3 linked regions of the Notamacropus eugenii genome follow. The protein of the gene in region 2 purifies or fractionates together with the protein of the main gene of each other region. This does not show direct contact. Links are inferred from orthologs where the notes say so. Each region holds a gene or a part of one and is shown on either strand. Other genes may lie near its edges.

The links.
Region 1: the proteins of UBXN7 (region 2) and TOPORS purify together in Homo sapiens (affinity purification with mass spectrometry; 4 studies listed by BioGRID and IntAct, with this or other methods). This does not show direct contact. The link is inferred for Notamacropus eugenii from reciprocal best matches to the Homo sapiens genes UBXN7 and TOPORS.
Region 3: the proteins of UBXN7 (region 2) and NPLOC4 purify together in Homo sapiens (affinity purification with mass spectrometry; 3 studies listed by BioGRID and IntAct, with this or other methods). This does not show direct contact. The link is inferred for Notamacropus eugenii from reciprocal best matches to the Homo sapiens genes UBXN7 and NPLOC4.

The regions. Positions count from the first base shown.
Region 1 is NC_092872.1:122,860,443-122,867,720, forward strand, and holds the start of TOPORS (E3 ubiquitin-protein ligase Topors), read right to left. Parts: upstream 3,075-7,278; 5' UTR 2,860-3,074; intron 1-2,859. UniProt on the Homo sapiens protein: Functions as an E3 ubiquitin-protein ligase and as an E3 SUMO1-protein ligase. Probable tumor suppressor involved in cell growth, cell proliferation and apoptosis that regulates p53/TP53 stability through ubiquitin-dependent degradation.
Region 2 is NC_092876.1:335,918,178-335,925,168, reverse strand, and holds the start of UBXN7 (UBX domain-containing protein 7), read right to left. Parts: upstream 3,046-6,991; 5' UTR 2,756-3,045; coding exon 2,485-2,755; intron 1-2,484. UniProt on the Homo sapiens protein: Ubiquitin-binding adapter that links a subset of NEDD8-associated cullin ring ligases (CRLs) to the segregase VCP/p97, to regulate turnover of their ubiquitination substrates.
Region 3 is NC_092873.1:325,532,059-325,539,598, forward strand, and holds the start of NPLOC4 (nuclear protein localization protein 4 homolog), read right to left. Parts: upstream 3,089-7,540; 5' UTR 2,965-3,088; coding exon 2,950-2,964; intron 1-2,949. UniProt on the Homo sapiens protein: The ternary complex containing UFD1, VCP and NPLOC4 binds ubiquitinated proteins and is necessary for the export of misfolded proteins from the ER to the cytoplasm, where they are degraded by the proteasome.

The sequences.
Region 1 (7,278 bases), on a different chromosome or scaffold from region 2:
CAGGCAGGTACTTAATAAATGCTAAGTTAGTTGACTCAGTTCCTTTAAGACAAAGGTTAGGGGTTATCTGCTCTAGGAAGCTTTCTCCCCAGCTGAAAATGATTTCATATTCATCAAATTTTCTAGAGTATTCTGCCTGGATCTTTGCTTTCCCCTTGGCATATTCTACCCACATAAACTTACTCATGTTCCCGGCCTTTCTCATGTCCCAGTAAACTCTTTAAGGATAGACAAATTCTTTTGACTTTGTATTCTCAGGATTTAGGCACAGTACTTTGTGCACAGGAAGAGCTTGAAAGATGATTACTGAACTGAATCAAAGATTACCTTATTCTATTTACAGGCATATCTCATTTATTGCACTTGGAAGATATTGTATTTTTTTTTTTTTTTTACCAACTGAAGCTTTGTGGTAATCCTGTCTCTAGGAAGTCTTTCAGCACCATTTTTTCCAAAAGCATGTGCTCACATTCTGCCTCACAATTTGGTAATTCTCACTATAATTCAAACTTTTCCACCACTATTACATCTGTTATGGTGATCTGTGATCCAAGTGATCTATGATGTTACTATTGTAATAGTTTTGGGGTACCTCGAACCTTGCCTATATGAGACAGTGAACATAACTGATAAATGTAAATGTTCTGACTGCTCCTCCAACTGATTCCCTCCTTTCTCTCTCTCTCTCTCTCCTTGAGCTTCCCTATTCCCTGAGACACAATAATATTGAAATTAGGAAAATTAACAACCCTACAATGGCCTCTAAGTGTTCAAGTGGAAGGAAGTGAATCAATTCAGCAAACTTTATTTTTTTTCTTATGTTAAGAAAGTGTCACAGCCACTTCAACCTTAAGCAACCACCACTCTAATCAGTCAGCAATCATGAACATCAAGGCAAGACCCTCCACCAGTAAAAAGATTACAATGCGATGAAGGCTCAGAAGATGGACAGCATTGTTTTTTAGCAATAAAGTACTTTTAAATTAAGGTATGTATATCTTTTTTTTCAATATAGTACAAGTACACATTTAATAGACTACAGTAAACAAATATTATATGCACTGGGAAACAAAACAATTCATGTAACTAGCTTTATCGAGATATCAGCTTGATATTCGATTTATTGCAGAGGTCTAAAACCCAACTGGCAATATCTCCAAGGGGTCCATATTGAGTAATCTGCTCTACCTTAGCAGACTGAACAAAGAAGTCTCTTATCCAAGACCGAAGCTCTCCAATCCAGCCAAATCATCCTGTTCTCTCTGATCCTGCTCTCTAATGAACTCAATATGCTACATTCTCTCCATCTTCTTCTCAGTGCCTTTGAACCCTCATGCCTGGAAGACACTAAGTCCACTAAATCAAGAAGAATTTATTAAGCAGTAATGCTAACTTATGCTAGGTATACAAAGAAGCATAAAAACAAGATTCCTGTTCTAAAGGAGATCACTTCCTAATGAGGAATTCAATGTGCACACCCTCCTTACTTCACCATCTCTTTTCCTTCAAGATGAAGCTCAGAAACTGCCTTTTTTGCATGTTTTTCTTGATCAACCTCTCCCCTTCCAATGCTAGTGCCTCCCCTCTAAAATGTACCAAGCTTTTTGGAAATGCAGTTTTTAACTACTTTGTATAGGTAGATGGTGGTTCAAGAGATGATATGTTGAACCTAAATTCAACAGGTGGGTGGACCTCAATTTAAATCCTGCCTCAAACATTTACTTGTGTGAGACACAAGTCACTTAGCTTCTCTTGGTCTCAGTTTCTACATCAATAAAATGGAGATAATAATAGCCTTCAAATCTCAAGGTAGTTATGAGAATAAAGTATTCATAAAGTGCTTTGCAAACTGTAAAGTGCTACACAGATGCTAAGGCTAGTGTTTTGCAAACCTTAAGGTGCTTGCTATATAAATGGTTTGCCTTTCGAGGACTGTCTCATTAGATGCTCACAACAAACCTGGAAGGCCGGTGCCATCATTATTATTAGTCCCATTTTACAGATGAAGTTGAGGGAAACACATGGTAACTGACCAGTATCTAAGGTCGAATTTCAATTCAGATTTTCCTAATCCCAGGTCCAGTACTGTATCGACTATGCCACATAGCTGTGATAGATTAAATAGATGGACAGATACAAGGTTCTGACATTTTTTGAGTCATCACCCCTTTGACAGTCTGGGGAAGCTTAAGGGCACATTTTCAGAAAAGTTTTTAAAAACACAAAAATAAAATACGTAGACTTACAAAGGAAACCAATTATATCAAAGTATAATTAATTTTAAAAAATCTTTAGATTTTTTAGAGTTAGAGATCACGGGTTAAGAGCTTCTAATATATATGTTATATTTAAGCTGCACACGCACACCTAATCTCCACTAGAATAGAAGCAAGCAAGGATAGTTTCTTTTTTTTGTATACCTAGACCTAGCATAGCAAGTGCTGTTACAGTAGGTGTTCATACTAAACTGATCCTACGGCGGGGCAGCAAATAACACCCACGGGAGTTTGCACTTTCTCATTCGAAGAACGCCCCCCAGGCCCGAGGGGCTGCAGCTCCGGCTCCGGCCCTCCCTCTTCAAGTAGAGGGAGGCTCCAAATGATCTCTCAGCCCCATTCCACAAGTGCAGGCTCCCCGACAGCCCGGGAAGTACCCCCACTCACCAACCTCAACACTCGGCGGGGTTCGTGGACGCCCCTCCGGGCCGCAGCAACGGCCACAGCTGCCAGGCCCCGGCCCAGCTCTTCGAAACCCCAGGCCGGGCCTCGCCACGCTGGGAATAGTGCTCCTGACACCCCGGAGCTCCAGAATCGGGCCGTCGCCCCCGTCCTGGACCTCCTGTCCGCCCCCACGGCTCACCTCTGAAGGCTCCGGCGCAGTCCAGACAAAGAAGGTTCTCTCGGGAATAACCCCAAGCGATCCAGCCGCCGACCGGCAAGAAGCCGCTCTATCCCCAGCTTGTGCTGTAAGCACAAGCGAGCGTCTCTCTCCCCCCACTCCTTCAAGCGGAGGAGGAGCCAGCGGCGGCGATCTTTTGTCGTAGGGCGCAGGTCACCAATAGCGAGCTTCCGGTTAACTCAGGAAAGGGATGGGATCCCCCCCCGGGGCTCGTCACAAGACAACATCCGCTCGTCCTCCCAAACCGCCAACTGTTCTGCGCACGCGCCAGAGGTGACGTTGTAAAGCTCTTCTGCTATGGAGGAGGTGGGCCTACTTAGAAGAGGTAGTGCTGGGGCCAACCTGGGTCTTTCCCTTCCTTCTGCCCCTTTGGGTTGCTTCCTGGGGGAATAAATGGCCTGTTTATTTTAGCCAACGTTAGTTAAAGAATCTGGGGCCAAAGTTCAATCCCTGCCTCTAATGATAACAGTAAAGCGAGTCGCTGGGGGCCGCTAGGGGGCGCAGCGGCGGGCCTGGAATCAGCAAGATGTGACTTCAAATTCAACTCTGACGCTAGCAATATTGTAACACAGGACTAGTCGCTTCAGTTTTTTTAATTGAAAAAGCGGTGATAATAGTGGCACTACCTCCTGGGGGGGGGGGGGGGGTGTGTGTGTGTGAGGATCGCATGAGATAATACGTGTAAAGTGGCATGGTGCTCTGGCCCATAGAAGGCACTCGATATTAATTTCTTTTTACTTCCTTGAGCCTCCGTTTTTTTCATCCGCAAAAATTAAGAAATTAGATTATTGCCGAGGTCCCCATTTCCTCTCTCTCCATATTAATTCCACGTGAATTAGAATTTGAACCTAACTACCACTTAATGAGGACACCCATTAGAAAAAAATGTCTGACAACCAAAAGCTTCCAGTCATTATTAATTCCTCTAAAATGCAGTGGTTTCCAGAACGTGTCATTCCCTCAATTCCCTCCTTTTGTCAAGCAGCCCATGCAAATAATTTTGTTTTTTATTTAAATATAGTTAAGAATGTTTTCATCACAAGCCTTAAATCATGCAGTAAAAATGTATAGATACTGATTAAAATAATTTGCACTTTTCATATTTATAATTTTAAAATAATAATCATGATATGTTATGATTGATGTGATGGATGAACTTTTCCTTCAAGTAGCTTCTTTAAACGTGTCATTGTCCTAACAGAAATGGATTTACCGTGGTTTCACTGGTAGAGGTAATGACCTAGTGAGAAAAACTCTTAAGCAGTTAGGACCTTCTCTATAATTTATAAACTGGTGGGGGGGCACTAAGAGATTAAGTGACTTGCTCAGCCAGTATGTGTTAGAAGTGGGAACTTAAAAACACAGGTTTTTCTGCCTCCAAAGCCAATATGTTGCAGAGGTGGGAACTGACAACAGGTTTTTCTGCCTCCAAGGCCAGTTCTCTCCAGTATGCTATTCTAGTTCATGGTGCATTAACCATAATTAAATAGCAATATAATTCATCATTCTTTTAAAACTCCTAAACAGAATCAATAGTTTGTCGAATGGCTACTGTAGAAAATCCTATCTTGCACAAATAAGATGTTGCAAAGAAGAGTAAAATTTGCATCACTTTCGTAAACCAGAGAACTCTTTTTCACCTAGCTAAAACAGTAAGATTTTCAGATTCAAACCCCCCAAACCACTACCACAAAACAAATCAATAAATTAGCAAGGATTTCTTGAGTGCCTACTATGCCAGACACCAAGCAAGCAAAGAAAAAAAGTGAATAATTCCTTATCCTCAAGAAGCCAATTACATCCTAGCAGGAGATACCTCCTGTAATAAAGCTCACTAAACAGTATCTTTTAAAAAATTTCACATCCTCCTTTCATGTCGTCTATGGGAGAATCAGCTATAAAGGGAATTCATCTTTTTGAGCCAAGTGTGCCAAATTGTCAATTTTATCCACCTGAAAACAGACAAAATAACAGTTCTCATCTGGAACTTCCAGTTGATTCAGCTAGCTTTATGAAAGCAAATACAGTGCCATCCCATCTCTCTTTGGGAACTCTGCAAATGACAAGAACTCTGAATTCCTGAAGGAAGGAAAAGGAAAGAAGGAAAAAAGAACTTATGAGGTGTTTACTATGTGCAAAGCACTGTACAAATACAAATAAGATACAAATAGAAAAGGCATTCTCTCCTTTCCACATTGTAATGGAGGAGACAACACAAATCAAATGAAAAGGTCCTGTGGTCCTTAGGGTACAGTGGCACAGCAGATGTTAAAGCCTCTCCTTTATTTTCATTTCAGTGCCTGGCACTTAACAAATGTTTATTGACTGAGGTTGAACCATTTAACAGTGCCAAGGACCCTGATGGCAAAAAATTTTCTTTTCTGGGTCTGCAGTAGCTGTGGCTATAGCACTTTCAGGAACAGTTGCCAAGCTACAACTCTACAGGGGTTTCTTCTTAGAATGATAGCAGAGATTGCAAAATAGAATAGCAATAATTTGAAATTGCTGGATACATAAATATGTTTAACCTCAATATCAGTCCTACCCCAAAGGCCCCCACCAAAATCCTATCCAGTGGTCCAAAATAAAAACAAAATGTTGACTAAATCTGCTAAGACCAGTTTTGGTACTTCTTTGTACTATGATTCTATATACTTGTGAGGCCATGGAATCTAATCACTCCCAAACATTCAGGAACTGCATATATCAAAAGGAATAATATGAGGTTGTAGAAGCAGCCTAAGGAAGTAGAAATTTTATAAATGAAGAAACTAATTTTGAATAGGAAGATCTGAGTTAGCCAGACCACACAACTTGTGTGATCATGAGGCTTCAGGTTCCTCGTATATAAAATTAAGGTACTGGACTAGGTGAAAACTACTCACATTTACATAGTGCTTAAAACATTTACTGCTTTTCTGCAATTTGGAAATACTGTATGGAAAATGCTGTGCATCTGTTGACTCAGTTATACCACTACTAGGTTTATACCTGAAAGAGATAAAAGAAAGAGGAAAAGGACCTATATATACTAAAATATTCTAGCAGCTCTTTTTGTAGTAGCCAAAAATTAGAAACTAAAATGCCTGAATAAATTGTCGTTTTTGAATGGAATATTATTGTATCATAAGAAATAATGAAATGGATAGTTTTAGAGAAAACTTAGCAGAATTAGGTGAACTATGAATAGGATATTATGGAGAAAAACAACTTTGAAATACTTAGGATTCTGATCATTGCAATCATAAACTATAAGCCCACAGGATTAAAGATGGAACACATCACTAATCTCTGTCAGAGAAATGATGAATTTAAATACAGGAAAACATACATTTTCAGGCATGGCTAATGTGGAAATTCATTTTTGAAGGGATTTATGCATGTTTATGATGAGTTTTTTTTTCTTTCCCTTTTTTGAGAAGGAGTTGTTGCTGAACAGGAAGGACAGACAGCTTGAAAGTGACATAAATGCATGTAAAAATAAATGAATAAGCTTCTTTTAAAAATAAGATGATGCAGGGGATAGAGTGCCTGGCCCTGAGTCAGGAAGACATCTTCCTGAGTTTAAATTTGGCCTCGGACACTTACTTAGCTCTATGACCCGGGACAAATCGCTTACCCGTTAGCCTTAATTTTCTCATCTATAAAATGAGCTGGAGAAGGAAATGGCAAACCACTCCAATATCTTTCCCAAGAAAACCTCAGATGGGGTCTCAAAGAGTTGGACAGACTGAACAACAATTAAGTACTTTTCTTACCACACTTTTGAGATACTCAGTACAAAAGTTAGCTCATTTGATGGATGAATAAATCGAACATAGGAGAGGTAGACCAAGCCACCTAATGTCACAACGACCTAATTTTAGCTCTAAATCCTCTGATCGGAGCAGTTAGTAGAAGTATCCATGTTCAATAATTGATACTGTAGTGTAGGCTTCTGTATTACATTCTTAGTTTAACTGTTTCACTCAGCTAGGTTTAGAGATAAGTGCTCAACATAAAGGTAATTGAACACACAGTACAATTCAACAAGCATTTATTAAGTATCATCCTTTTGGCCCATGCAATCTGCTAGGCTCTTAGTATAAAGTAAAAAATGAAAAGTCTCTGTTTTCTCCTTAGCTTTCATAGGATCACCAAGAAGAAACAGGTAGCAGTTATTGTCTTTCCTCCCCTTACTCCCACCAAAAAAAAAAGTTCAATTATTCAATAAAGAAATAAAATGAGACCTCATCATCATAACACACGAGTACTTGTTTCATAGTAACATAGGAAAATAAACCTGTATTTGAAAAAAAAAACTAATTAAAAAAATTACTTGTTTAACATGACTGTTATAGAAATGTTTTGCATGACTCACATGCATAACTAATATTGAAT
Region 2 (6,991 bases):
TATTTATAATTACAGTTTTTTGGCAGCCATGTCACACTGACTCATATTGAGCTTGAAATCATGTAAAATCTCCAGATCTTTTTCACATGAAATGCCTCAGCTTCCCTATTTTACATTTGTACAGTCCATTTTTTGAAAATTTTTCTAAGTCACAAAAGACTATGTGCTGTCACTAGGTCATTTTCTTGACAATAAATGATATAAGAACCTATTTTTAATTGTAGGAAAAGGTAACCATAATGTGTGCATTCTGGCTACGTAGGTGATTATTCAAGAAAAGTAGTTTCTAAAGCTATATATAAAAATATTTTCTTCCTTAGGATATAGTCACTACAAATTAAGAAATCTTTAAAAAGAAATACTACTATCCTGTTTTTTCAGCAAGAAAAAAAGAATAAGTTAGCTACAAAAGCTAATATTTTAAGTTTCTCAGGGGGAACAGAATTTATTTCGTTTTTTAAACTACTTACAACTTAATATTTAATACAACTGATTGCTTTATTAAATAAACACATATTTTCATTTAAAAAGCACATCCACAATACACACAGGATTAAACTAAATTTAACTAATTTTGGTTAAATGCAACTATGTCAAGTTCTTGGTAACAGATATTCTAATGGCTGTGGCAAAAATATTCATAATTAACCTAATGACTCTGCAAAAAGCATCCAACAATCATAATTGGGAAATAAAATAATCAAACATCACAGTTTTACAACATCACATCAGCAGAATATTTCTGACTTTTCAAGTCCTTTCATAGCTATACTGTTTCTGATACTTATTACATTAAGAGACAATATTGGAAAAAGAACTAGGGCAACCAGATGAGTCACTTGTCAATGTGCCAGCCTTTTAGGAAATTACTATGTGTTGCTATCTATCTGTAACTAAAACAGCGCTAGAAATGATGATGAAAAGGAACACTTTGAAATCCCCAAGAAATAAAAACACCTAAAATTACTGAGGTAACATCTACAATTAAACCAAGAAATTTTGACAATTACTTACATTTAAGGCTTGAAAAGTACTTTTCTAAAACAAAAAGAAATTTTTTTAAAAAACTAGAAAAAAGTATAATTACTCAGTTTTTACAGATGTTGACACTGAAATCAAATGACTTGCCCAAGGCCATTATTAAGTTATAGAGTCTGGTGTCCAACCAAGTCTATCCAGCACTCATTCTACTCTACCATTGTTTCAATAAGAAAATGACTAATAATAGATCAAATCATTCCTGGACCTAATAAATGGTTTTACAAATGATTACCTCATTTTATCCTCACAACAACCCTGGGAGATAGGTGCTATTATCTCCATTCTGCAGATGAGGAAACAGACGGAGAGAAGATGACAAGACTACACAGCTAGTATCTGATTCCAATTTTCGGACCAAGTTCATCCACTCTTAACTCACTGTTTCAGTTGCCTTCACTCAGCTATGACCCACTCAATACAAAGACAGGCTGCAAATACATTACCTCCATTCTTAGTTTCAAAATACTTTTTTTAAAAAAAAGATATATACCTATCTGCAAATACATTTGGAAGACTTTTCTCAAATATTTATCACAAATAATCACTAAACATCACAATATCACTTGTAAATAACATCTAGTTCTTAGACCTACTTCATTTACAAATTCTACTTGATGAAAACTGAAGTCATACGACAAAGTAACTGACCTCAATTTTCTAAAAGCCACGGCCAGCAAGGTGAAAATGAAAAAAAAAAAAAAAGCTCAAAAACTTGTTATAAACACTTGTCCGATAATTTCCCAATTTCAAAACAATGGGCATTTTTTCTTAGTGGTAAGATCCTGCTTGACCACTAAAGCTTCAACAAATGCGTCCTGAAGAAACATTTTCAACACTGCAAACATCTTTTTAGCGATTCACAGATAGCATACAGACTTACTTACGTCTGACCTCCTTACAAAAAGAAAAAAAAATCACTAGAACTGTTAAATTACACTTAGGCACATGGAGTCACTCTTCCCTCAAATCACTTTACAGAGAACTTCCCCGTTTGCTCCGCCCCTCTAATAACTCATGCAAAAAAAAAAAAGTTCAGCACCATTAGAAAGGAACAGGACGCGGACGGTTGGCAGGATGGCAAACGGCTCTGGACCCCCGGGGAAGGGTGCCCCGAACGCGTCCTTCCCCCGAGGTGCAGACCCGCAGCAGCGGCCCGAGTACGGGGCTGCGGACACCGTCACTCTGCCAAGGGCTCCCTTTCTGCAGCCGCTCCTGCGGCCATGCCTCCCCGGAGCAGCACAAGGCCGCATCACCATCATCCTTATCCTTCCGTCGCTACATTGGGGGGGGAAGTTTCACGGCCCCCCCCCCCCTCACTGCTCAGGGTCCCCCATGGAAGGGTCACTAGGTGCTGCCCCCCTCCCCCCAAACCCGCGAGCGCTACCTGCCTCCCCGGTGGTTCCCCCCCCCGCCCCCTTCACGTCGCTGCCCCTCCCCCACTACCTTCTCGGCGGAGGCCTGCGCCAGCAGGGGTCGAGGATGTGGGCTCGGGGGCCCGGGGCCCCCCCGGTCTGGGGGGCCGCTCTGGGGAGCCCCCGGGGGAGGACGGACGCCGCCGCCCTACCGGAGTGGAGCGACCGTGGCGGGGCATGGGGAAGGGGTAGGCCCCCCCGCGAGGCCAAAGGAGTCTGAGGGCGGCGGCCGGCGGGGTGCGGGGCCCGATCCCTCCCTCCGCCCCCGGGGCCCCGGCTCGCCGAGCGCGGCCAGGCCCCATCCGCCGGCTCCCAGGAAACGAGAGGCAGGTCCCCGCGTCCTCGTCCCGCGGCGGGGAAGGACGGGGGGAGGGGGGCACGGGGTTGGGGAGGGGCCGAGGCTGAGGCTGCGCCCGCGCCCGCGCCCTCACCCCGGGACCCCGTCACTGCCGCCGCCGCCGCCTCGGAGGGAGGGCGGGAGCTGAGAGGGAAGCCTGGAGTGGGAGCGAGAGGGCGGAGGGAGGAAGCCCGGGTCTTCCCGGCTGCCCGCTCCCGAGCCCGCTCTCCGCCTTCCCGTGTCCGCGTCTCTTACCCGTGATGGCGGTGAACTGCTGGATTAACCCTTTCAGCGCCGAGGAGGCCGCAGAGCCCCCGTGCGCCGCCATCTTGCCGCCGCCGCCGCCGCCGAACAACAACACAGACACACAAGTCCTCCCTCCCCGCCGCACGCTCGGCGCAAGCGCGCTGCTCGCCCCGCCTCTCGCTCCCTCTGCAGGGGCCCCGCCCCTCCCCGCCCCACTGTATGCTCTGCGCAGGCGTCCCACCCAGCCCTTCCCACTCCCCCCTTCTCTCCTTAGTCCTTAAGTACGCTACTCTGCCAGCCCCCTTAGCGACCGGGTCCGCCCTCTTTGGGCCGGACTGCTTTCGGTAGCCCCGCCGCCGGTTCTTTCCGTTTCAAATTCGAAAAGCTTTATTGGTTGCCTCCGCTACGGACACTCGGCCTCGCTTTTTTTTCTCTTTAGCGCGGGGTGATTTACATCTTTGGCTACCCGGCGTGCTCCGCGGGGCATCCTGACGGGAGTCCGGCGGCTCCCGGCAAGGGGTCCCCCGGCGGTGCCGGCGGGGTGGGCAGAAGCAGAGCTGGCGCCCCTCCCATTGGAGCGCTGGTCTCCCTTCTCGCCAAACCCCCGAGCAGGGCCCCTGGCCGCCGCCTCCCTCTTCCCTAACCTGTGCTGCGTCTCCCGTCCTCCTGAGCCCTTTTCTTTGCGAGAAGTTGGACTCGTGTGATAGAAAAAAACAACGTGCCTTCCATTCCTCCGTGCATTCCTGCCAGCACCCTTTACTCATCCTTTCACTTCTCCATCCGCTCATTCAATAAATTCGAACACCCTTCCTTGAGACTCAGATTCCTCATCTGTCATCTGTGGGGAGGGAGCGAGGGAGGGAGAGGAGAGGAAGGGACTGTAGCCCGGCCAGGGAAGGTCACTTCTAAGCTCCCTTCCCACTTTGACGTTCTATAATAAGGTAACCCTTCAATCCTCCCCAAGGGAGGATCCCAGAAATCGGGGCGTCAGAAACCTCCAAAGCCACATTTGAACCGCTTTAAGAAATATCCCTTAGACGAGAAGGAGGACTGGGAGATAAAGGGAGCCGAGAAGCCTGAGCCTGGGAGTCAGGGAGGAGCGCTTCTGGCCTCGGCCCACCAAAGCCTGCGGAAGTGGGCAGGAGATCGGGGCGCCGCCCCCGCCCCCGCCCGTGGAAGCAGCCGGGGCAAATCCTGGCCTCCCCAGAGGATCCGAGATCCTCCCGGCGCCCTGGAGCTGCCAGAGGCCTTCATCCCGGGACTGCCTGTGGGAATGGGGACTGAAGAGGAGAGGGCAGGGGGGGCCGGCCACAGCGAGCCTTTTGTTCTCTGCTTGAAGCTGGCACCGCTGCGCTTCCCGGCCAGAGAGCCTTTGTCTGGGGTCTTGGACGAGCCACTCAGCCCCGAGAGGAGTATTGCGAGGACGACGATCGTTCGTTCCTGGGCTGGGCGTCCAGCTGCGGTTCCCTAGCGAACGAGGAAGCGTTTAGGAAGCTCTCACTAGGGGGGAAGCGCTGTGCTCCTCTTCACTGGGAAGGCACATGGAAAAGCTAGCCCGTTCCTGCTCTCAAAGAGCCCCGTTCTAACGGGGGAACAATGCATGGGGATGGTTTCAGCTGCAAGACGGGCAGATGGGGGGAAAGATGCCCTGGTCCTTGGGGCGCAGCGTCAAAGCAGATGGCGACGGTTCTTCTTCAAAGTCATTCCCCTGATAGAACCACATCGGATGCTGAGCCATTGGAGGCTCCGAGGACTGCGGGGACCAGAGTTTTCTAGGTCTTTAGTGACTGTGGCTGCAGCATCTTCGCAGGTCTTGGCTGCTTCCCAGGACGGTGGGTTGGAAGCGCTGCTCTTCCCAAAGTTCTTGGGCAGAGGTCCTGGGCGCACGGTGGTGAAAGCTTTACATGCCTGGCAAGTGCTGCCTCCCACCTCGCTGCTTCAGCTCTGGCCGGCTTGCCTGCTCTGTGGGTGGCAGGTAGTTACAGACTTTGTCCAGGGAGCCCAATCTGGTCCTCCGTCCCCTCCCAGCCTGGCTTCCAGACTTCTGAACCATGCTGTCTTATGCTGAAACTTCTCTCAGCGCTTGGGGCTTCCTCACCCTAGAACATCCCTCTGTTTGGTCACCCCCTTCTGCTATCAGAGAGGCAGCTAAGTGGACCTGGATCTGGAATCAGGATCATCTGCAGTCATCCTGATGAATGTCTGGTCACTGATTCGGATGGCTCTGGAGAAGTGAGGCTGGCGACCTGCACAGCCCTCCCTCACTCAAAGCAAAGTCAAGGGCAAGTCACGTCATCATTTCTCTGATGGCATGGTCTTCTTTGGCAACGAAGGACGAACACACACTTTGTGGAGGGGACTATGTCCATCTTCATTCTCCTTCTGGCCCTGTTCCTGCTTTCTAGATTTTCAAAAACGTATCCCCATTAGAATGTGAACTCCTTACTATGGCCAAAGGGCTATAAAACTGTGCATCCCCTTTCATCCAACCATATCACTACTAGGTCTATATCCCAAAGAGATCATAAAAAAGGGAAAAGGACCCACATGTATGAAAATAATATTTATAGCAACTGTTTTTGTGGTGGCAAAGAATTGGAAATTGAGGGGATGCCCATCAACGGGGGAATGGTTGAACAAGTTGTGGTATATGAATGTAGCAGAATGCTATTGTGCTATAAAGAAATGGTGAACAAGCACATTTCAAAAAAACCCAGGAAGATTTACATCAACTGACAGAGTGAAGTCAGAACCAGGAGAATATTGTACGTAGTAACAGCAATATTGTTAGATGACCAATTTTGATAGCGTTAACGTTTCTCAGCAATACAGTGATCTAAGAGAATTCCAAAAGACTCATAATGGAAAATGCTATCCACATGCAGAGAAAGAACTATGGAGTCTGAATGCAGATCGAAGCATACTGTTTTCACCTTTTTTCCTTTCTCGTGGTTTTTCCCTTTTGTTCTTATTCTTCTTTCATAACATGACTAATATGGAAATATGTTTTACATGATTGCACATATATAACCTATATCAAATTGCATGCTGTCTTGGGGAAGGGGGGGGGAGAAAGGGAGAAAAAAGATTGGAACTCAAAATCTTGTCAAAGTGAATATGGAAAACTGTCTTCACATGTAGTTGGAAAAAAATACTGTTAAGTAGGGGAAAAAAGAATATGAGCTCCTTGAGGGTAGGGCCTATATTTTCTTTTTTGTTTGTGTCTGTATCACCAGTATTTAGCACAATACCTGGCACATGAGAGCTTAATAAGTGCTTTTTAAATTTTTTTTCTTTGTTCTTTCTCTTCCTTCCTTCCTTCCTTTCTTCTTTCCTTTCTTTCTTCCTTTTTTGCTTCTTTCTTTCATCCTTTCCTTCCATTGTTGGGGTTCGCTGGCCCCTTCTCCTCAAAGAATTTTGGAGAGGATAGACATGGGGAACATAAAGGTTGAAAGGAACTGGGAAACAGTGGCATCTAGCCTGGCTTTTGTGCCTATGGAAACCAGAGAGAGGGGGGAGGGACTAAGCTGGAAGCAAGACCAGTGGTCTCAGTTGGTCAGCAGTTCTTGCTGGCAATAATGAGGAAAATGGGAACCTCTCCACAATGATTTCTCCTCTCAGGTGGCTGAGCTGGAAGCAGGTCTGATGGTTTGGGTGGCACAGCTATCCTTGAGGCTTTTAAAGATCCTGGGCTATTGGTCAAGGTGACGGTGGTGGTTCAACCTACCTAGCAACATCCTACCTTCTGTCTCTACCTTAGGGTACCTCTTAGGAGATGAGTTTGAGTGACTGGGACTCCCCTGTCCCCCAAGCGGGACACACACACACACACACACACACACACACACACACACACACACACACACTATTTGATTGGCTAGAACTCTTGAGAGTAAAAGCTCTTATCAGAGGAGTTATTCCTTTGGACTGGCCCTTACGGAGGCCAGACCAGAGT
Region 3 (7,540 bases), on a different chromosome or scaffold from region 2:
ACTGTGGAAAAATAAATGCTGGCTCTAACCACATGAACAGAAATTGTCCCTGCAACAACAGACTGCCAGAAAGCACTTCTGCTATAGTTATTTTTCTCAACATTTACCATACTGTTTATCGGATAAAAGTCCTAACTCTTTTAGAAATATATGATCTGTTGAAAATTATTTCCACTATTACATGGCCAAATGCCCCACTGGCTCATAATTCCCTGAACTTGACACATTCTGGGATGGAATTTATCAAGACTAATTCATGTCATCCTAAAACAAAGGATCACAGCATCTGGAGATGAAAAGAATCTTAAAGGTCTAGTCCAACCACCTCACTCTGCAGATAAGAAAATAGACTTAGAAATGTGAAATAATTTTCCCAAGGTCACAGATAATTAAGATGACGACTCAGTATTCCAAAACTCAAGTCCTCTGATTCCAAATGCAGTACTCATTATATTATAACAACTCATTATACTGTAACAACTATAACAATGTCTAATAACTCACTAACTTTTGTCTGAAAAACTCTGTTGTCAATTTCTAAGTTTAAGGCAGTTTATTTTTTGGAAAAACATTATGGACATTCCATTCATTAAAAGTTTAGAAAAACTAGCGTACCTGTTTTACCCTAAACTTTTAACTCTGACTAGCCCTTTTAATTTTTGGATTGTTCATCTTACATATGTATTCAAGTTTCTCTAAATGTCTCCATATTAAAAAGCACTTCAATGTAAAACACATACGTATTTATAAAAACACTGCCATTAATATTTGAATCCTCTAGTTCTAAATTAACTAAGAAAAAATATTCAGCTGCCTGTTCTCCCACAATAATTAGAAATGTTAAAACTAGTTCCTGAACTAATCAATTCTACTCAAAAACACAAGGTACTTCCTCTAAGAGACTGAATTCCAGATTTCTGAAATAGAAATTATTCTGATTTGATCATCTTAAACAGTGTTTTTAAACATATATAGTTAAACATAACCATATATGCTCCCAAACCAATTTCAAGTTTTCTGGTAACAAAAGATAAAACTAAATTGTACTAGTTCTATAAGACACAAGAAGACCTGAATGTACAAGATTTCTCCATCTATAAAACAAGGACTACTATGACAGCTTGTATGTACTTCACAGAAACAGAATGTTTAGAATTAACATTTTAGGGGCTTTAACCTTTTTTTGGGGGGGGCCCCACAAATTTCTGTGGCAATTTGGTGAAGCCTATGTACTCATACTCAGAACAATGTTAGAAAATCACATACAAAGGCTTAGAAAAGAAAATTTTACTAAAGCACAGTCATCAAAATATATATATTTTTTAAGGTTCCTAGAGTCAAGGGGTGCAGAACTTGTAGACTCAAGGCCACATGTGGCCCTCTATGACTTCAAGTATGGCCCTTTGACTGAATCCAAACTTCATAGAACAAATCTCCTTAATAAAATGATCTGTTCTGTAAAACTTGGACACCCACGGTCACAAGTGGCCTAGGATCAGAAAGCAGGTTCCCCACCCATGACCTAGACCTAGATTAGAGTTAGACCCTTGGTTTTGGAATAATTTGATGATCTCAACAATACACTCAGTATTCTTTAGAGGAAACAATCTATCTCAACTCATTTTTCCCCTAAAAAATAAACACATTTCAAAAATTTAGTAAGTGCAAAAGCGTTTAGTTGTTCAGTCAAAACATCTATGGGACACCTAGGTTTTATTAATGGTGGCTTAGCCTTACAAAAGTGGTCTTTTTCTGGCTATCATTAGACTTAAGAACTTTGTCTACAACAAGATCTGACCATTCTTATCCTAAATGGAACGCTGGGTTTAGTTTTCCTGTAAACGGAAGGTACTAATGCAACTTTTTAAACTACCAACAGTTCCTAACCTATTCGGAGCCCCAAGTTAGATTTCTGTAACCTTATTTTGTTTTAATTTCTGCAACCTTATATTTAAAAGCATCAATACTTTATTTTCTTGTACCATTCCTCCTTTACCTCCCTAAAGACAAGCCAGTGAATCCTGTGCCATAAACAGAAAGCTGGCAGGAGAGGGTGGTGAAAAGTCTGGAACGAACAAGTTTGGCTCAAGGCAGAGAGACCCAGGGAGGGCTGGCTGCCTACGCAGCAGGTGCGAGAAGCGCCCTCCCCAAGCCGGGCATCCACAGCTCCTTCCTTTCGCGTTCTTTATTTACCACCAAAATGCTACTGCCCCGATCCTCCCTGCGGATTTTCCCTGAGTCATTAGCTTCTTTGCTAAAGCACTTAAAACTTATCACAGCCTAAGAAATAACCAGTTTCTGGGCTTTCAGATTAATTGTGCCATAAGGTATTAGGGGGTGATTGATAAAGTCTGATCTCCCAAGACAAGAAAAATGAACTTCCTTTCCCAAGTTTCTTTTAGTCAAGCATTTAACAAGCTTTCCTTGGAAATCGAGGGGAAAACGTCCTATTTCTGTACTTTTGTTCCGGACCTCCTCCGGGGGAGAGGGACTTTTTTTCTGGGGTGTCCTTATCTGTAGCTACTTTGCTCCTTGGAGTTCATATGGAGGAAGAGAAGGTGGGGGGCAGAAAGGGGAAAAGGGGAGGTGGGGGAGGAGACGGGGTTGGGTTGTGGCCGCGTAAGAGGGGTCTCTCTTTTATTTGGGACCCTTCTCTCCTGGCCTCCAAGGTCGGGGTGTTCCCCCAAGGTAGGCAGATTCTCTCCCCCACCTCGGACGCCGGCGATCTCCCGGCGGCTGAGTCCCGGAGAAGGCCGAGGATGAGAAAGGGCCCAGATGGCAGGGCCAGGGAAGGGGGTGAGCCAGAAGGCCTGAGTGCCAGGGGGCGAGAGAGACGCGGGTCCACGCCCCGCAGGCCTCGGCGGGGAAATCTGCTGCCTCATCCCGGAGGCGTCCCACTCGGCTCGCCCTCCCCGCCCGCACCGGCCGGCCCGCGGGGAACTGACTCACGATGCTCTCGGCCATGGCCGCCGCTGCCGTCGCCGGGCCCCGGAGCCCGGCCCCCGCCGCCCGCCGCCCCGAGTGTCCCGCAGCCGCAGCTCCGGCTCCAGCCCCGGCCTCGCTCCTCCGCCCGCTCCCCAGGCACGGCCGCCGCTCCAGCTCCGCCCGCCCGGCCTCAGCCTGCAGCCGACGTCCCGGTGCCTCGCGCAACGCGCTCCCCCCAGGAACACAGACCCGGAAACAGGGTTCCGGCTTCCACCGCGGCGCCACCCCTCCCCCTCGCCCCGCGTCCGCTCCTCCCCCCGCCCTGGGAGCAGTCCGGCGGCTCACCCCCTCCCACTCCTCCACCCCGACCCCGCCCCCACCGGCCTACTTCGGCGCCAGCGCCAAACGCTAGGGAAGGAAACCTGGCTGCTCTCCCACTCTAGAACAGAAACTCCCTGCGGGCAACAACGATTTCGTTCCCGCCTAGATCAGTTTACTCCGACGAGTCTGGCCTGTAGGAAGAGAAATGAACACGTTCGGAAGTCTGGGTAAAGACAGAGCATAACCACGTACGGGACGCAGAAACAGGGCCAGGCATTGAGAGGGCGCGACCACGAGGTGCCTGCTGCGTGCCCGGCGCCACCCCGAGCCCGGGTGGGCAGAGGAAAGAAGCGGCCCCTGCGCTGGCAGTCTGAGGAGGGCAGCCGGTCTGCACACGGCCAGTCGTTCTCGGGGGGTTTCTGACTTTCCCAGCAGACATGTGGAGGGCCTTAGGATCTCCTTCTCCAGCTCATTTTACCAACGAGGAAACTGAGGCAACAGGGCGGCCCAGCTCGCGTGGGGGGTCAGGTCTGCAGACTCCAGGCCTGGCACCGTCCGCTGGGCCGCCCTCCTGCCCACAGGATAAATAGGAAATCCTCAGCCCCGGAGGTGAGAGGGCTTGGGGAAGGCTTCCTGGTCTGCATCCAGGAGGGATTCACCCAAGGCTTCCCGGGAAGGTGGCTTTAAATTGGGGTGGAGGGGTGGGGTTTTTAAGGAGCTGAGATTTATGAGAAGGGGAGGGCTTTGGGCATGGGGAACTGCATGTGCCAGGAGGGAGAGGTGTTGGCTAACAGTAAGGCATGATCTGGTTGGAGGTGAAGGGTACTGGAAGGATACTGGGTGGGAAATATATCCCAAAGGCCAGTTTGTGGTCAGGACTCATGGGAGAGGTGCAGGGGTGTGAGTAGTTGGGTTATATTTAAGAAGCAAAAGGAGGTAGTTTGGTACAGAATCTCAGCAGGAAAACCTCCTTTCAAGCTCCATCTCTGACACCAGTCATACCCTCTCAGAGCCCCAAACAGAGTGTTATTTCCTCATTGGGAGTTCCCCAAAAAACCAACAAACAAATCCAAAAAAAGGTTGTTTAATATTTTGGAGCAGTGGAGTAGTGTGATCGGACCAGGGCATTAGGCGTGTGGAAGCTCACTTAGTGGGCAACTAGGTAGCAAAGTGGATAGAGCTCCGGGGCTGAAGTCAGAAAGACTCATCTTCGTTCAGATCTGGCCTCAGATACTTACTAGCTGTATGACCCTGGCCCTGTTTGCCTCAGTTTCCTCATCTGTAAAATGAACTGGAGAAGGAAATGGCAAACCACTCCAGTGTCTTTGCCAAGAAAACCCCAAATGGGGTCACGGAAAGTTGTACACGACTGAAAAAAAACTGCCAAAAAGCTCACTCTAGGCATGGACTTCGCACTTTGGCCTCTCCTTCTGACTTGATGACTTCTACCAGAATCTTTATTTTAAGAGTAGACATCACCATCACCACCACCCCCAGGACCCTCCCAGGTCTAAATTTTTCTCTAGCCTGAGCTCCAGTTTCTTCTCTAGGATTTTTTTCTTTACTGCCTCCCCATCTCAGGCTCCAGGCACCTTCATTTTACCCTTTCTAGCTTCCTTGTGGGGCATCTAGGTGGTGAAGTGGATAGAGTGCCAGGCCTGAAGTCGGGAAGACCTGAGTTCAAATTTGACCTCACATACTTACTAGCTGTGTGACCCTGGGCAAGTCATTTAATCCTATTTGCCTCAGTTTCCTCATCTGTAAAATGAGTTGGAGAAGGAAATGGCAGTGTCTTTGCCAAGAGTACCCCAAATTGGAGACAATGGAACAACCACTAACATTTTATTTGTGTTTTTCATTCTTTAGAAGGGCAGAAACTGCCTTTCTTTTAGCTCCTGTTTTTATGCCCTGAGCCTAGCTCAGTCAGTTTTACTTTACTCCCATTAGGAGGTGGGGGAGTCACTCTTTCCCAACTCCACTCTTTTTGAGTCCCCAAGGGTGCAAATTTTTCTCTAATTATCACCTTTTTCTTCTCCCTAACTGACAGGGGTTGGGGGAAGCCCAATATGGGGCAGTCTTTAGCCTCTAGCAAGGAAGCCAAAAATTTGCCTGCTGGCCTCTGCCTCACTGGAGCTTCTTTTAAATTCTGTTCACCACACTTCCTCCCACTAGGTAAAAATGCTTACTCATACCTTAGTCTTTGTCTAGAGTCATTTGTCTAGATTTCCTTATTATTTTTCCTGCTTTGAGGGAATTATAATAATAGTCATGATAAAAATCTCTTTGGTTTGTCTTAAGCCCTCAGCCCAAGAGAATTTCTCTAACAAAAATATGTATTACAGTTGCACAATCAAACTCTGCTAGCCTTCTCTATGGTGACTTTTAATCCTCCCTACCCCAACCCCCAGGTCACACACTAGAACCCATGATACAATCCACAAACATTTTACTTTGGAGTAACGAGTTCCTTTACAAGCAAATGACTGAAAAACGGAAAGCAAATAAATCTTTTAATAGAATGAGGAAAGGAAAACAGATTCCCTGGGAGAGAGCCAAAGTAAAATAGGAGACCTAGTGGTAAGAGTTGTTCCATCCTCATTATTAGCAAACAACTAAGTGCCTTCCCACTCCCCAGAGAGGGTCCAGATTAAACCTCAACATTATAAACTCCTGGCGCTATCTTCTTGAGCAATATCTTGTTTTTACCTCCTAGGGGACGTAATCTCTTCTTATAGCTCCCAGGAAGAAGGGAAACTGAGCTTTCAGTCACATTGTGTTCTTTCCTGGGGTTAGAAATGTTATGATTCCTTGCAAAATCAGCTACAGTGTGTTCAACATTTAGAATTATATATCACATCATCATCATAGCATTTATATAGTTTCTTTGTGTTTGTAAAGAGCTTTAACTGAGGCAGATGGAGGTGAAATAACTTGCCCAGGGTCACCTTCAGTCATTGTTCAGTCATCTGACTCTTTGTGACCCCATTTGGGGTTTTCTTGGCAAAGATAATGGCGTGGTTTGCCATTTTCTTCTCCAGCTCATTCTATAGATGAGGAAACTGAAGCAAACAGGGTAAAATGACTTGCCCAGGGTCACACAGCTAGTAAGGATTTGAACTCAGGTCTTCCTGACTCCAGATCTAGCCCTCTAACCAAAAATAAACACCGGCACTTAACAGAAAAAAGATACTTAACCTGGAATCCCAGTTAACCATCTCAGGGTGCCAGTCTCAGCAAATATTCAGAGCATATACCATACAGAGCATGAAGCATCTTCTCTCAACAGGACACTTCAGTGACTACAGGTCTAAATTATATACATAGGACATATTACATGTACATGCCATAGCAATACATATATGTTGTTTGCCGTTGTTTACTCGTTTCAGTCCTGTCCAACTCTTCATGACCCCATTTAGGGTTTTCTTCAAAAAGATACTGGAGTAGTTTGCCATTTCATTCTCCACCTCATTTTACAGATGAAGGCAAAGAAGGTTAAGTGACTTGCCCAAAGTCACACAGCTTGTAACTGAAGCCATATTTGAATTCATGAAGATGAGTCTCCAGGTCCAGCACTATATTCACTGGACTGCCTCGCTGCCCAGTTCATATATATATTCAGAGATATACAGAGATTTTAATGATGACTATCATTACAATTCCTCCCCCCACCCCAAATCAGGAAAAATAATGAAGGAATTTAGACAAATGATCCTAAACAAAGACTAAACAATGAATAAGCATTTTTATGTGGTTGGAAAAATTTAAGTGAATTAGAACCTAGAGCACAAATAAACATTACAATAAAGCAAATATGAAACAGTAATGTCAGTAGGCTTACAGAATAACGAAAATGCAGGTAACAGAGTATGTTCAAACAACGAAATTGTGTACATTTAATAGACAAATATATCCACAAAACAGGAATAATTCTAACACAAAAGCAAATAGACATGAAGAAGAAAATATTAAAAGCAAAAGCATTCAAAGTATGCAGTAATTAAAATGTGTGTCAAAGAACATGCAGCTCGGTGAAAGGCACTCATTCCATTGGTAAGCATCATTGTCATCTATCTGCATGCATAACCATTTCTCTGGTTTCCCTTGTGTCCTATTAGTCTGGGCATCTTGACCTCTTGGGCATGGTGTACTCATGTTCTTTGGCTCAAGGTCAAGTAGTCTATGCACAGTCATATTTTTCCATTCCTCTTTAGTGCCTGTTCCATTTGGTTTATTTTGCCTCTCTGCCAAGGAGAATGATGTTTGGACTACAAAAGATGGGCTAAAAATGGCT